Callithrix jacchus: one gene and its partners. The protein of the gene in region 1 purifies or fractionates together with the protein of each later gene. This does not show direct contact. Links are inferred from orthologs where the notes say so. Each region holds a gene or a part of one and is shown in the gene's direction. Other genes may lie near its edges. The genes, in order: PIAS4, IKBKG and SMAD4.

Region 1 (4,394 bases):
CCAACACTTCGGGAGGCCGAGGCAGGCGGATCACCTGAGGTCAGGGGTTCAAGACCAGCCTGGCCAACATGGCGAAACCCCGTCCGTACTAAAAATACAAAAATTAGCTAGGCGTGGTGGTGGGCACCTGTACTCCCAACTACTCGGGAGGCTGAGGCAGAAGAATTGCTTGAACCTGGGAGGTAGAGGTTGCAGTAAGCTGAGAAGACACCATTGCACTCCAGCCTGGGCGACAAGAGCTACATGGTGACAACTGTCTCTGCAAAAAAAGAAAAAAATTTATTATTTCATCCATCATGAACTTTTTTGCCTTTTTTTTTTGAGACGGAGTTTTGCTCTTGTTACCCAGGCTGGAGTGCAATGGCGCGATCTCGGCTCACCGCAACCTCCGCCTCCTGGGTTCAGGCAATTCTCCCGCCTCAGCCTCCTGAGTATCAGGGATTACAGGCACGCGCCACCATGCCCGGCTAATTTTTTGCATTTTTAGTAGAGACGGGGTTTCACCATGTTGACCAGGTTGGTCTCGATCTCTCGACCTCGTGATCCACCCGCCTCGGCCTCCCACAGTGCTGGGATTACAGGCTTGAGCCACCGCGCCCAGCCTGATTTTTTTTTTTTTTTTTAATATTAAAAGTATTGGACTCGCCAGGTGTGGTGACTCCCGCCTGTGATCCCAGCACTTTGTGAGGCCCAGGCAGGAGGATCATTTAAACCCAGACGTTCGAGATCAGCCTGGACAACATAATGAGATCCCGTCTCTACAAAAACTAAAATAAAAAATAAACTGCACTAAAATAGTTGATTACTGAAGTCTGAACTTAAATTCTACGGGCACTAGGGAGCCAAGGAGCGCTTTGGAATCTGCAGCTGGTGCGGATTCCAGGGTTTCCCAAGGGTGGGAAGCAGGATGGGAGAGGGCGCCTGCAAAGAGGTGAGAGCTGCACGAGCTCCGCGGCATTTGGGAGCCGCGGTCCCGCTTTTCTCCGCCTAGCGCCAGCCAGCAGGGTGCCGAGCCCACGCCCCATCTGCACGCCAGGACCCGGATGTGCAGCGCGCGGGGCGTCGGGGCCCGTGGAGCGTGCACCGCGGTGCGCTGCAAGGCGTCGCACTGCACGCACTGGCGGTCGTTGCGGCGGAGCAACCGTCTCCTCCCTGACGCCGCCGGGAGTCTGGATACGCACCTGGCGGAAGAAGCCGCGTCACCTGGCCGCATTGTGGTCGCTGCCACTGCCCCCCTCCCTCCTTCCTTCCTTCCCTCCCTCCTTCCCTCCTTCGAGGCGACCCACACCCGTCCCCACCTGTGCAGAGCTCGTACCCCTTTAAGGAGTCAGACGCCGCCAGGGGTGGGCGTGGTCGCCGCGAGCTAGAGAAGACGAGGGAAGGAGGGAGGGGCTGGTGTAGGGCGGACCTGATTGGCCCTAGGCCCGGGCGGCGGCCGCGCGCGCCTGCGCAGGACGCAGCAGCGCCCGCCGGCGGCGGGAGGAGCGCGCGCGGGTGCTAATTGGCCCGGGCGGCGGCCCCGCCCGCGAGTGGTGGGAGGTCACGTGACGCGACGGCTGGGGGCTCCCGGCGCGGGGGACGCTGGTGGCCAAGATGGCGGCGGAGCTGGTGGAGGCCAAAGTGAGTGAGCGGCGGCGGCGCCGGCCGGGGCAAGTGGGCGAAAGGGCGGGGGCCGGGCCGCGGGTCCAGGTCTGCGCCTTCCGTCCGGGGCCCCACAGCGCGGTCCGCCCGCGGCTCGCCGTCCCGGCCCCCAGACCCCGACCCCAGGGCTCAGGGTGAGGGCGGGGGGGCGGGGAGGCCGGGGGCGGGGCCCTCCTGCCTCACCCGGGTCTTCGCGCCAGGGGTCGCTCCCCCAGCTTCAGGCAGGGTTCCCCCACCCAGCCGGAGCCTTTAGGGTCCGGGTCCCCAAGCGCCGGGCCAGGGCCGCGCCTCCCGGTTCAGGCAGCGTGCCCCCGGGCTGCGGGATGGGTTGAGCTTCTCGTTGCCCTCTTGCTTCCGAGCCGTAGTCCCTGGTATTTGTCCGGTTTGTGTCGGGAGGAGTGTCTGCGCTTACCGGCCCGGAGGGCTCCCAGGACTGGTGTCTGGGTCTTGTCCCCGCCCAACAGGCCAGGCTGGGGTTCGCGAGTCCTCTGCTCCGAAGGGTCCCCTCAGTCCCGGATAGCGTCCTACCGCCGTCCAGGTGGAGAAATCAGGGCCCTGAGACCACCCCAAGACACAGCACGTCCTCTTGGGGGCTGGAGCCGGTCTTCAGCTGCTGCATTGGTCCCAGGACCCCGCCCCCTTCCCGACACGGTTTCTCAGACACCGGAGTGGACGCTGGGGGAACGCTGGGCTCTTTACCCTCGCCATGGGATGGAGTCCCAAACGCTTGTCTTGGTTAGAAACCTTCCTTGCTCGCCCCTTTTTAAAAACAAGTCTGACATCCTGGACCTGTGTCGTTCCCCGCGGGGCAGAATCTAAGGTTACTGGTTTTGCTTCTCGTGGTTCTAAGCCTCACCTGTGCAGCCTCAGATACTGTCTCCAGAGTTAGCCGCTTCTGTTTCCTACTCTTGAGCGAGTCTGCTGCGAAGATCAGACTCCCTTTCTCCCTGCACAGCCCCCAGCACCTGTCTGCACCCCAGCTTTGGTTTCTGAGGTTCCTTGTCTTTCTGCTTATACTCTTTATTTTGATCTTTGGAGGGTCCCCACTGGGTCCGAGGCCGGCCTCTTTAGAATAACTTCGGCTGCTTCTCTGTCACGGTCTGGGCCCTGTCCAGGTCCCATGTCCGGTAGGTGCCGTCTCCTTCTAGCTTGGAACACCTTTTAATCGTCCTGAGATGGAGCTCAGAGTATCCCCGTTCCTGGGGATGTACCTTCTTGTAGGTGGCTACCTAGAGCTGAGGATCGTCTAAAATCTTCAGAAGTGTCGTCAAGGCCACTGCTTCCAGGGAGGTTAGGGGATCTCTCCCTCCCTCACCCCACTTTAGGTCTTCCCCGCCGGGGTCCTGACCTGTACGTATTTTCTTCCCTCATCACCCGCTGGGATCTGAAAACACAGCCCTCAAGGTTCTGTGATGATAGCATCCAATCCTCTTACCCTTCCAAGCCTTCACTCCGCACGCACTTCTGCCGCTCCCTAGAGTTTTGCAGAGTGGAGACACCCTGGAGATGTGGAGGCCTGAACTCTGTAACCCCAAGGCGGCAGGCTCTGGGCTTGAAGTTCCATGGAGACCTCGCAACTTGGAGCTGTGACCCTGGACCCCACCCCCACCCTGGCTGAGGGCAGGGTCTGCACTCTTTCGTACCATCCAGGCCTTGAAATACGATCTGACGAACTTTTCCTTGACCCTTTGGTGGCTGGTACCCACCCCCGCCCCCCAGTTAAATCAAGTTTGCCCCTTCTTTCAGACTCTCTAAATTGCGAGCCTCCATTCAAGGGGGTGGGACCTTGGGGGGCCGCCTTTCTCCTTGAGTCCGTTTCTATCCCTCCAAATGCCTTAAGGGTCATCGAAACATCCCCTTTTTTACAGGGGCTTTCCCCAGCCTGTCATACTCATGGCTGCAGATTCTGCTTTTGGGGTGCATCACAGACTGCTCGGAGGGTTGAATGGTGAGGGCTTGTTAATGAACTTTGAAATCTGAGACCCTCTGCTTGGGGTCTGGAGGCGGGTTTTGGGGCAGGGGTGTCGTGAAATAGTCCACAGCGTTTAGCACAACACACATCTCTGTTCTCCTGGAGAGGGGCGCCTTCCTGAGCTTCCCCGGTGCTCCGAGGGCCCCGTGCTGGAGGAAAGGTTCAGCGCAGCTGCTGTCTCTGGGCTGCTGTCTCCCCACGAGGCTTCCCGGCAAGCCTGGAGTTGAAACTCGGAAGGGCCTGGGCCTGGCGCTGTTTATAAACACAGCTTTGAGGGCAGGTGGGTCAGGATGAAGCCAGGGCAGGAAGTGATCTCGGGGCATTGGGTGCTTCTTCCTGAATTCGTGTCCTCCTGCCCCCCTCCAGTGTCCAGGGCAGGCTCCTCCGAGGTGGCAGCTGCCGGGAAATCTGAATCGTGAACATATGGCTGCCTAAGGGGTGTGCTCCGGAAAGCAGGAGCTGCAGCTCCACTGTCCAGCCTGGGCAGGGCAGGGGCTCCTGGGGTGCCAGGACGTCAGCGGGTTCCCAAGCCCACCTGCCTTCGGCCGGGCTGCCAGTGCGAAGTGTCCACATGACATCGCCTCTCCTTGCTAAGGCCTGGGCAGCTTCCAGAAGAAACATCTTGTCCGCAAGCCCTTTTGTTTTCTGCATGAGGTAGGAAGTCAGGCCGAGAGGGATGAGGCATTTTTGTTTGCAAAGCCTCGCTGACTCAGGCCCAGCAGACCACGCAGGTCCCCGTAGCCAGTGTGCTGGTGAGCGAGGGTCCCCTGGGCCTCGGACG
Region 2 (4,393 bases), on another chromosome or scaffold:
TCCTGAGTAGCTGGGACTCCAGGCATCTGATACAGAGCCTGAGTAATTATTGTATTTTTAGTAGAGATGGGTTTCCCCCAGATGGGTTAGCCAGGCTGGTCTCAAACTCCTGACTTCAGGTGATCTGCCTGCCTTGGCCTCCCAAAGGGCTGGGATTATAGGTGTGAGCCACTGCACCTGGGCGTGACATATATTTCAGTAAAACATGATAAAAAGTAATAGACAGTCTAGGCATTGTAGCTCACGCCTGTAATCCCAGCACTTTGGAAGACCAGGGCAGGTGGATCACGACGTCAAGAGATCAAAACAATCCTGGCCAACCTGGTAAAACGCTGTTTCTACTAAAAATACAAAAAATAAGCTGGGCATGGTGGTGCATGCCTGTAGTCCCAGCTACTCGGGAGGCTGAGGCAGGAGAATCACTTGAACCTGGGAGGCAGAGGTTGTGGTGAGCCAAGACCACGCCATTGCACTCCAGCCTGGGTGACAGAGCGAGACTCCATCTCACACACACAGATGAAAACAAAAGACATGCTCTTCAAAGCGATCAGACACTGCAATCATGGATGGGTCCGTTTCTATGAACCATTATAGAATGGAGGCCATGCCACCAGGACACATGCCCCCATGAAACAGGCAGTTAGGAAGCCACCGGGGGCTTCCAGGTGGGAAATTGCTATGGTGTGCATCCCTTGTGTGCTCTGCTTCTGCCCCTCCTTGGGTGAGCTCGGTGCAGGGCTTCAGGTGGGAGCTGCAGGCAGACTGCTCCTGAGTTTCTTCCCGGCCCAGTTACAAGTGTCTGTGGGTCATCTCCAGGCTGCACTGGGACCTCAGCATCCCCACAGTGGGCTGTTCCCAAACCAGGGTTGCCTGTGTTGGTATCGGGGGGCTCCTAGCCACCTGCCATTTATCTCTTGAGCACTCTGGAGTGGGGCTCTCCTGTAACTGCCACATGAAAGTTTTATAAATGGTCTCTTTGCCCCCCAGATGCTGCAGTGACCGTCTTGAAAATAAAGTTCCAGCCCTGCCACCAGCTGGTCTTGGACCACCCATGAGACCTTCTCACCCATCACTACCCGACATGAAGCCCAGTGCAGCCCTCCTAGCATCCAACTTGCTGCTCCCTGAAGCCACAAGGACCTCTTGCTTCTGCATCCTTCCAAGTCCACCTCAGACGACCCCTCACCCTGGGGTAGGAGTTCCTCCACTCTGCTCCTCACAGCACCCTGCCATCAGACTGGGGAGGGGAACACTGGCCATGGCACATCAACTCAGGGTTGTCCCCGCACACAGAAAGGGCCAGCTCGCTGGGAACTAACTTGTCCCTGAATGAAACGGTAATAACCACAGCCTGCAAATACCTCTAAGCCTCACTCAAAGCAGGTCATGTTTGCTCATGACCAAATTCTGGTAGATCAGGAGGCATTGGGACAGACTACAGGAAGGTACTGTTGGCAGGGGACTGGTCTGCTGAGTCACAGCGGCCCCACGCTCCAGGCTGTTTGTTCCTGCTGCTCCCTTTGGGATTAACTGGAGATTGAACCTGTTCGCCTTGTTCCAGCTCAGCCCCTGCAACCGACTGTCTGCTGGGATCCGAGTCACCTGAGAGAAGTGAGTCGAGGTAAGACAGAGGATGGCGTGGGTGGGGGAAGGCCAGGCAGCTCTTTCCCATGGTGACGAGGAGCTAAGCTGAGCTGAGCCGAGCAGAGCCAGACTGAGCTGCTCTCCTCAGGGCTCAGGGCTAGCCCTGCCCTCCCAGCTGGCTGCAGCGCTCTAGTGGGACTTTCTGGAGGGACAAGTACAGGAAGACATGGGAAAACCTGACAGCTTAGTCAAGAGTCTACTCCTGCCATGTGGGTGGGGGCAATTCAAGGGATCCTTAGTGAGAAGCAGCTGGGAGCTTCTCATTTTCCCCACGCCCTCCTCTTTCCTGAGGACCACAGCAGGGGAGGGACCTTCTTGAGGACACAGGGTGACTTAGTAGAAGCAGGACACGATTAAGATCTCCAGCCACCAATGTCTGGCTCGGCCAGGGCAAAGGGACCTAGGCCACGACCTGTTTTATAAACCCAAATCGCTACAGCTCGTCTTGGCGTGAGGGTTTCATGGTAGAGGGCGATGCCTGCTGGAGAGCCAGCAGGGGTAGGCCACCCCATCCCCAAGGGTCGCTAGGGTCAAGGACCTGCCCAGACTCCCTGGGTGGAGCCCGAGAACCTGGGGGCTGCTGAGTTAGCTCAGTTGAAAAACCAACGAAAGGGCCTCCCTCCTAAACCCAGGGGCTCATGAGTCACCGGGTCTTTGGGAGAGTGCCAACATCATCATGACACAGCAAGAATCTTATCGGACCAACGGAGAAGTCAGCCCAGAAATGTTCCGAGGAAAGGGAGGGGTGGGGGCCGCTGAACGCCCAGCAAGCCCATGGCCCTTGTGATCCAGGTGGGGAATCTGAGGCCCAGACAGGTGAGGAACCCGTAGACTCTCAGTCCCAGTCTCTTCCCCTCACTCCCTGGTAGGGGTGGGAGTCCTGAGAAGGTGGGAAGTGGCCCACTTGGTAACTCTGAGCCGTCATCAGGGCCCCCAGGAAGGAAGCTGGGTGTGTGCGCAAGTGTTGCGTAAGCTGGCCAGGAGGAGGAAGGGACAGATGAAGGCCACGTGGGTACAGCCTGCCCCAGGGTGTCCCGCTTCCCTGGCTGTGGGTCTGCCAGCCACTTGCCTGCTTGCAGTTTCTAGGTCACGCCAAGCTAGTTCCCAACTCAGGGCTTCAGGCATTTGCTCTTCCTTTTGTGTGGGTGCTCCTCAGCCTGCCCCGGCAGGCTTGCTCTCCAGGCCCTCCTTGTGGGATCTATGCGCTCTGGGGGGCTGGGAACACAGGGCCCACATGTATCTTCTGCTTACTTGCTGTGGTTCCCTGGCCACCACAGCACATAGGTCCCATGAGGAGGGCAGGGACTGGCTACTGTGGCCCAGAAGTGCCCGATCACTCTCTTCTAAATGAATGGAAAATGGGCTATTTTCCTGGAGCAACAGATTCTAGGATTGGGTGCCCCCAAGTGCATCGAGTGAGGCATCGGGCACGGAAGGAGCCTGGGAGTGGGAGCTGCTCCAGGTGCTGCCTGAGCACGCCACCCCCACCCGCAGCAGGAAGAGGAAGAAACCAACCACAAGGCCCTTCAGAGAGAGGACCCCTTGTCCTCTACCCACAGTGCTGGAGCTGGCACCGTCAGAGCAGAGGAGAGCAAAGGGGAACCCTACTGATTTCAATGAAACAAAGTTGCCCAATACCAAGCTGGCCACAAGTGAAGAAAGTGAAATGACACAATCAGCTTGGAAAACCCTAAGGACCCTGGGCACTTGTTTCAAAAGCTGTCATTTGCTACATGAAATGCTGACAGTCAGAGAAAGGAAAACACTTGCTCCAAGTCACACAACAAGTTTGGATGCTCAGTGAGGTTGTCTAATGAGAGCTGAAGGCCTGGAGTCATAAGCCATCATTGTGGCCTGGGCTGCTGTGTTGTAGTGTCCTTGTGACAGCATGGGGTGGAGACAGGGAAAGGAGAAAGCATCCTCAGTTACCTTCTCCTCTAGTCTGCTTCTTGCACTAAGGGCTTAATGGTCAGAGTCCTAGGTGGTAAGGTTTGTGACTGATGCAGGTATGGCTCTTTTAATTTTTTTTGACATGGAATCTCATTCATTCTGTTGCGCAGGCTGGATCACTGCAACCTCTGCCTCCCAGGTTCAAGCAATTCTCCTGCCTCACCTTTCTGAGTAGCTGGGATTACAGGCAGGCGCCACCATGCCTGGCTAATTTTTGTATTTTTAGTAGAGACAGGGTTTTGCCATGCTGACTAAGCTAGTCTCAAACTCTTGACCTCAGGTGATTGCCCGCCTTGGTCTCCCAAAGTGTTGGGACTACAGCTGTGAGTCACAGGGCCTGGCCAGGTATGGCTCTTCTGAGAGGACTAGGCTGGGGCTGAAGGCAAGCCCAATCCACTGTGGGCTCCACCTGGGTACCTCTCCTGGGTCTCAGGCATATGGGGAGTCAGAGGACAGTGCTTGGGGTGGCCCTTCCTTACTTCTCCCTCGGCTGCCTCCTCATTCCTTTTCTAAGTTCTGATCAGAAGTACAAAGGTGTCAAGGAGCAGGTTTGCAAAGTGTGACACTGCATTGTTGTACGTGAACAAAGAACCACTAAGCTCATCCAGCACTCAGGGACGCGTGATGAGGAAGAGCTCATTAGTTTTGAGAGAGCTCTTGCTCAAGGTTATAAGATACTTTTTTTTTTGAACTGGAGTTCTGCGCTTGTCACCCAGACTGGAGTGGAATGGTGAAATCTTGGCTCATGGCGAAACCTCTGCCTCAGCCTCCTGAGTAGCAGGGATTACAGGTGCTTGCC
Region 3 (4,286 bases), on another chromosome or scaffold:
ATTGAACTATTATTAAATCATGTTTAGTAATCTATTAGCTGACAGATCTACTTTCAGTTTTGTTGACAGAAAAGATTGGAAAACTATCCGACTTGCAAAATAATTTAATACCCTTCACCTAAGGTCATTTACTTTCTCAGCATAGATACCGATATTTGAATTGCCCCTTTTGGATTGCTGGGGAGGTTCTGCATTGACCCAGTGTACCTTAATAATGAGTAAGAATTCTGACTTTCTTTTGTAAGGTGGGAGGGAGAAGGGTAGTTTTGAAAACAGGTGCTGTGTCCTTAGCTCCCTTCTCAAGCTGGGCAATTTTAGAAAACAGAACATATAGCAACGGAAGATATGGAAATGAAATCCCTTAAAACTGGTCTTCATAAACCCCAGTGGTAAGAGAACACCAGTTTGAAGCTTTAGGGGCTTTCTGGCATTAAAAGAAAAAAAAAAGTGGGGGGGAAATGGCCCAGGATGTGGAGGACAGAATGAGGCACAGAGGATCTATGTGGCGAAGGCATGCGGTGGGTGTAGAGAGTTCTGGGCTACGTGACCTAAGAAATGACTTTAGAACTGGCTCATCATTAGTTTTGGAGGGACTAAAACTAGTCCCAAAGTAGTTCCTGCTTGGTGAAAATATATCATTAATGCGTTTTAAATTAAAAAAAGAAATGCATGCGTCTTGTAAAAAATGAAATAAAAGAAATATAAAGCCAAAAGCAGAGCCTATGCCTTTCCCCACCGAACAAACAGATAACCTAGTTAATAGGTGTGTAGTAGGAGTCGAAGTTCCCCTCCAGCTCCGAGAGTGCTCTGTATCTCCTCCAACAAAACCACCCACACTTGGAACGCCTGGCAAGGCTCTTCAGTAAGGGATTCCTTGACTGTCCTGTGCGTCTCTCGAGTTTAAACACCTCTGGGGCTCGTGATTCGGGGCTGCCGGAGAGGGAAGGTGCGGCCAGCGTCTGTTTCTTACCGAAGTGAACTGCTACAACCTAGCCACGTTCTCCTCCGAGCTGTAGACTGGCTCTTGAAGGCCAATTTTTGTGCCTACGCAGGTCCTCAACACCAAACAAAACAAAAAACCAACAAAGGCCGGGCTAATCACTGTTTATAAACACTTACTGGACGCCCACTCAACGCCGAGCTCTCCTGCGCAGCTTGGGTACTTTTTTGCAAAGAGATGCCAGTGTCCCTGGCGACCACTCCCTCAAGCAGGCCTTCGCCCTCCGCCCGCATCGCGGCCCAGGCCCAGGCCCAGGCCGAGGCCGGGACTCTGAGCCTCCCGCCGGCTGGCGCTGCCCGGCAGGCGCCTGCGCAGAGCGACCCTCCCCTTCACAGGGGGCGGGGGACGGAAGGCGGGGGCAGCCGGGAGAAAGGAAAGCTGCGGGGGAAAAGGGCCAAACCCTGAAATTACCCGGATGTGGTCCCCGCGCGCGCATGCTCAGTGTTCTCTCGACAAGTTGGCAGCAACAACACGGCCCTGCTCGTCGTCGCCGCTGCGGTAACGGAGCGGCTCGGGTGGCGGAGCCTGCGTTCGCGCCCTCCTGCTCTCAACGGGAGGCCTTTCTCGCCCTCCCCTCGGCTCCGCAGTCGCCCAGCGGGTGGGAGCGGGTGAGGGAAGCCGGGTGCCTCGCGAGAGAGGCCCCCCGCCGCGGGGCTGCCCGGGAGCTCGAGGCGGTCCGGTCGGCGCGGGCAGCGGCGCAGCGCTGAGGAGAGGCGGCCTGGCCGGGAAGCCTCGGGGCGGGGGCCGAGGAGCTCTCCGGGCCGCGGGCGAAAGCGACGGGCCCGGAGCGTCCGCGGACCAGCAGCGGCGGGAGAGCGGACTCCCCTCGCCACCGCCCGAGCCCAGGTAACCGCGCCATGTCCCCTCCCCTTCCCCCGGCCTGGCCCGCGCACCCCGCCCGCGGCTTCTCCGCCCCGGGGCGGGCTCCCGGCGGCGGCGGGGAGCGCGCGGATCCGCTGGGAGGGCGACCGTGGCTACCTGACGAGCCGGCCCGGGCGGGCTGGGTGAATGCAGGGTAGCGGTGCCTCGCGTCCCTCCAGCTCCCAGCTCCGCTAGCAGCTCGTGCGAGAATCAAGTTAAACTCGGACGGGACTCCTGCCGCGGCCGCCGCTCCTCTTTGTTGTTCTGGAGTAGTTTCTTGGTCGCCCGGGCTGAGCGCGTTGGGTCGGCTGGAGTGTGTTGCCTTACGGTCTAAATGAAAGTTGTAAATTGTTTGTCTTAATTTATTTTCTCCAGCCAATTTCTGTTTTCTCTTTGTCCTTTACTTTCTCTTCCTAGTCGTGTCAATGCCAGTTTACGCTTCTGTCTTTGATATGTTTAGTTTTTGAGTACTGAGAGTGACGGTGGTATGCCGGACACATTCTTAGCACCTAACTGAACCCCTTCTTCCCCCTATATAACATGCTCCCTAATAAAAGGCACAGTTGATCTTACTGTTAGCACTACGTGTACTGAGAGTGAAATGGGTGTAGGGTGGAGGGCGGTGGCTCCATCACTTGCCCCAAACTGTTGTTAGGATCTCTCAAACTAGATTTTCAAAGACACGAGTATGTTTAGTTAACCTGAAAGGTTTATTGGCTGGTGCAGAGGTTTTACAAAGCCCTGCTGAATATTAATAGCTGTTTCCCTCAAAAACCTAAGTACATTTGTTTTTAATAAAGCGCGCGCGCGCACACACACACACACACACACTCACACACACATTTATTTCCAAATTACTTTCTTAATGCATTTAGTTTTTGCACCGTAGTTTAAGGTGAAATTGCCAGTTACTTAGGAATAATAAATATAACAAGATAATAAGGGAATTAGACTGAGTTGACTTTCTGCAGACATACAATCTTAGCTAATTTTTGTTAATAACCTTTTGACTTTTGTCGGAATTAGAATCCTTTTAGTCTTAGTAGCAGCTTGGTTACTCGGGTATTTAAGAATTAGATTCACTACTTTTTGCTGGCAAAAAACATTTATTAGAGTCTCAAAAAAATGAAATGCATAATGTTGTAATTAGGTTTAGAACATGGCATTTGAATAATTTTTATGGTGGATTTCATAAATTACTTTGCCATACTCTGCCGAGACTAGATATATATTTTTTAGTTGAAATATAGGAAATTCTAAAGTGCAACTTTTTTTTTATGCTGAGGACTTATTCTGTCTATATTGGAAAGTTCTGATGTGATTAGTAGATAACATTCTAAACTGTAAATGATTAACATTTAAAAACACGGATTTTTAAAATTAATGTTTCTTCCATAATGCTGTCATGATTTTGTATACTTAAATGGGTTCCTTAAAGAACAAATGTAATAGAGATAGGCCAAGCATTTATAATTTGGAGTAGCTTTAGATCTAAAGATGGTGATGAATTATGTAGGCTTAAGTTGTTGGAATTAAAACCAAAAGCTTCTTTAGATAAAATTGTTACAATATTTAACTTTATTAATAGAAGTGGCTTTTTCCTTGCTTTCCAGGTTTTCGGGTGAGTTTTTAAAAAGTATGGCATCTTGGGTTTTTTATTTTTGAAGTGGGGGTGTATGGCTCTGTTTAGGTCAGTGCCTTCAGTGTAAATCTTGAGTTTAGAAAAAAACAAATTGCAAATCTGTTTTTCAGACTTAATGAAAATTTGTGCTGAGAAATATTTCACTTTGAAATATTTTGGAATAAGTTTTATGTGGATGATTGACTTTTTATGATAGTTTTGCTGCTTGAAGCAATTCTGCCTATACTAGGAGGCAGCAAATCTTATTTTAGAAAACTTGTGCTTCATTTTCTTTTTTTTTTTTATTGCATTTTAGGTTTTGGGGTACATGTGCAGAACATGCAAGACAATTGCATAGGTACACACATGGCAGTGTGTTTTGCTGCCTTCCTCCCCTTCACCCACATTTGGCATTTCTCCCCAGGCTATCCCTCCCCAGCTGCCCCGCCCCCGTCCCTTCCCTATTGCCCCAATAGACCCCAGTGTTTAGTACTCCCTTCCCTGTGTCCATGTGTTCTCATTTTTCGTCACCCACCTATGAGTGAGAACATGCGTTATTTCATTTTCTGTTCTTGTGTCAGTTTGCTGAGAATGATGTTCTCCAGATTCATCCATGTCCCTACAAATGACACGAACTCATCATTTTTGATTGCTGCATAATATTCCATGGTGTATATGTGCCAGATTTTCCCAATCCAGTCTATCATCGATGGGCATTTGGGTTGGTTCCAGGTCTTTGCTATTGTAAACAGTGCTGCAATGAACATGCATGTGCATGTGTCCTTATAGTAGAACGATTTATAG

Evidence for each region.
Region 2: the proteins of PIAS4 (region 1) and IKBKG purify together in Homo sapiens (affinity purification with western blotting; 5 studies listed by BioGRID, with this or other methods). This does not show direct contact. The link is inferred for Callithrix jacchus from reciprocal best matches to the Homo sapiens genes PIAS4 and IKBKG.
Region 3: the proteins of PIAS4 (region 1) and SMAD4 purify together in Homo sapiens (affinity purification with western blotting, with the first as the bait; 3 studies listed by BioGRID). This does not show direct contact. The link is inferred for Callithrix jacchus from reciprocal best matches to the Homo sapiens genes PIAS4 and SMAD4.

What each region holds. Positions count from the first base shown.
Region 1 is NC_133523.1:3,761,880-3,766,273, forward strand, and holds the start of PIAS4 (E3 SUMO-protein ligase PIAS4), read left to right. Parts: upstream 1-1,568; 5' UTR 1,569-1,593; coding exon 1,594-1,620; intron 1,621-3,977; exon of another isoform or gene 3,978-4,267; intron 4,268-4,394.
Region 2 is NC_133524.1:150,333,564-150,337,956, forward strand, and holds the start of IKBKG (NF-kappa-B essential modulator), read left to right. Parts: upstream 1-1,522; 5' UTR 1,523-1,621; intron 1,622-4,393. UniProt on the Homo sapiens protein: Regulatory subunit of the IKK core complex which phosphorylates inhibitors of NF-kappa-B thus leading to the dissociation of the inhibitor/NF-kappa-B complex and ultimately the degradation of the inhibitor.
Region 3 is NC_133514.1:94,257,109-94,261,394, forward strand, and holds the start of SMAD4 (mothers against decapentaplegic homolog 4), read left to right. Parts: upstream 1-1,440; 5' UTR 1,441-1,846; intron 1,847-4,286. UniProt on the Homo sapiens protein: In muscle physiology, plays a central role in the balance between atrophy and hypertrophy. When recruited by MSTN, promotes atrophy response via phosphorylated SMAD2/4.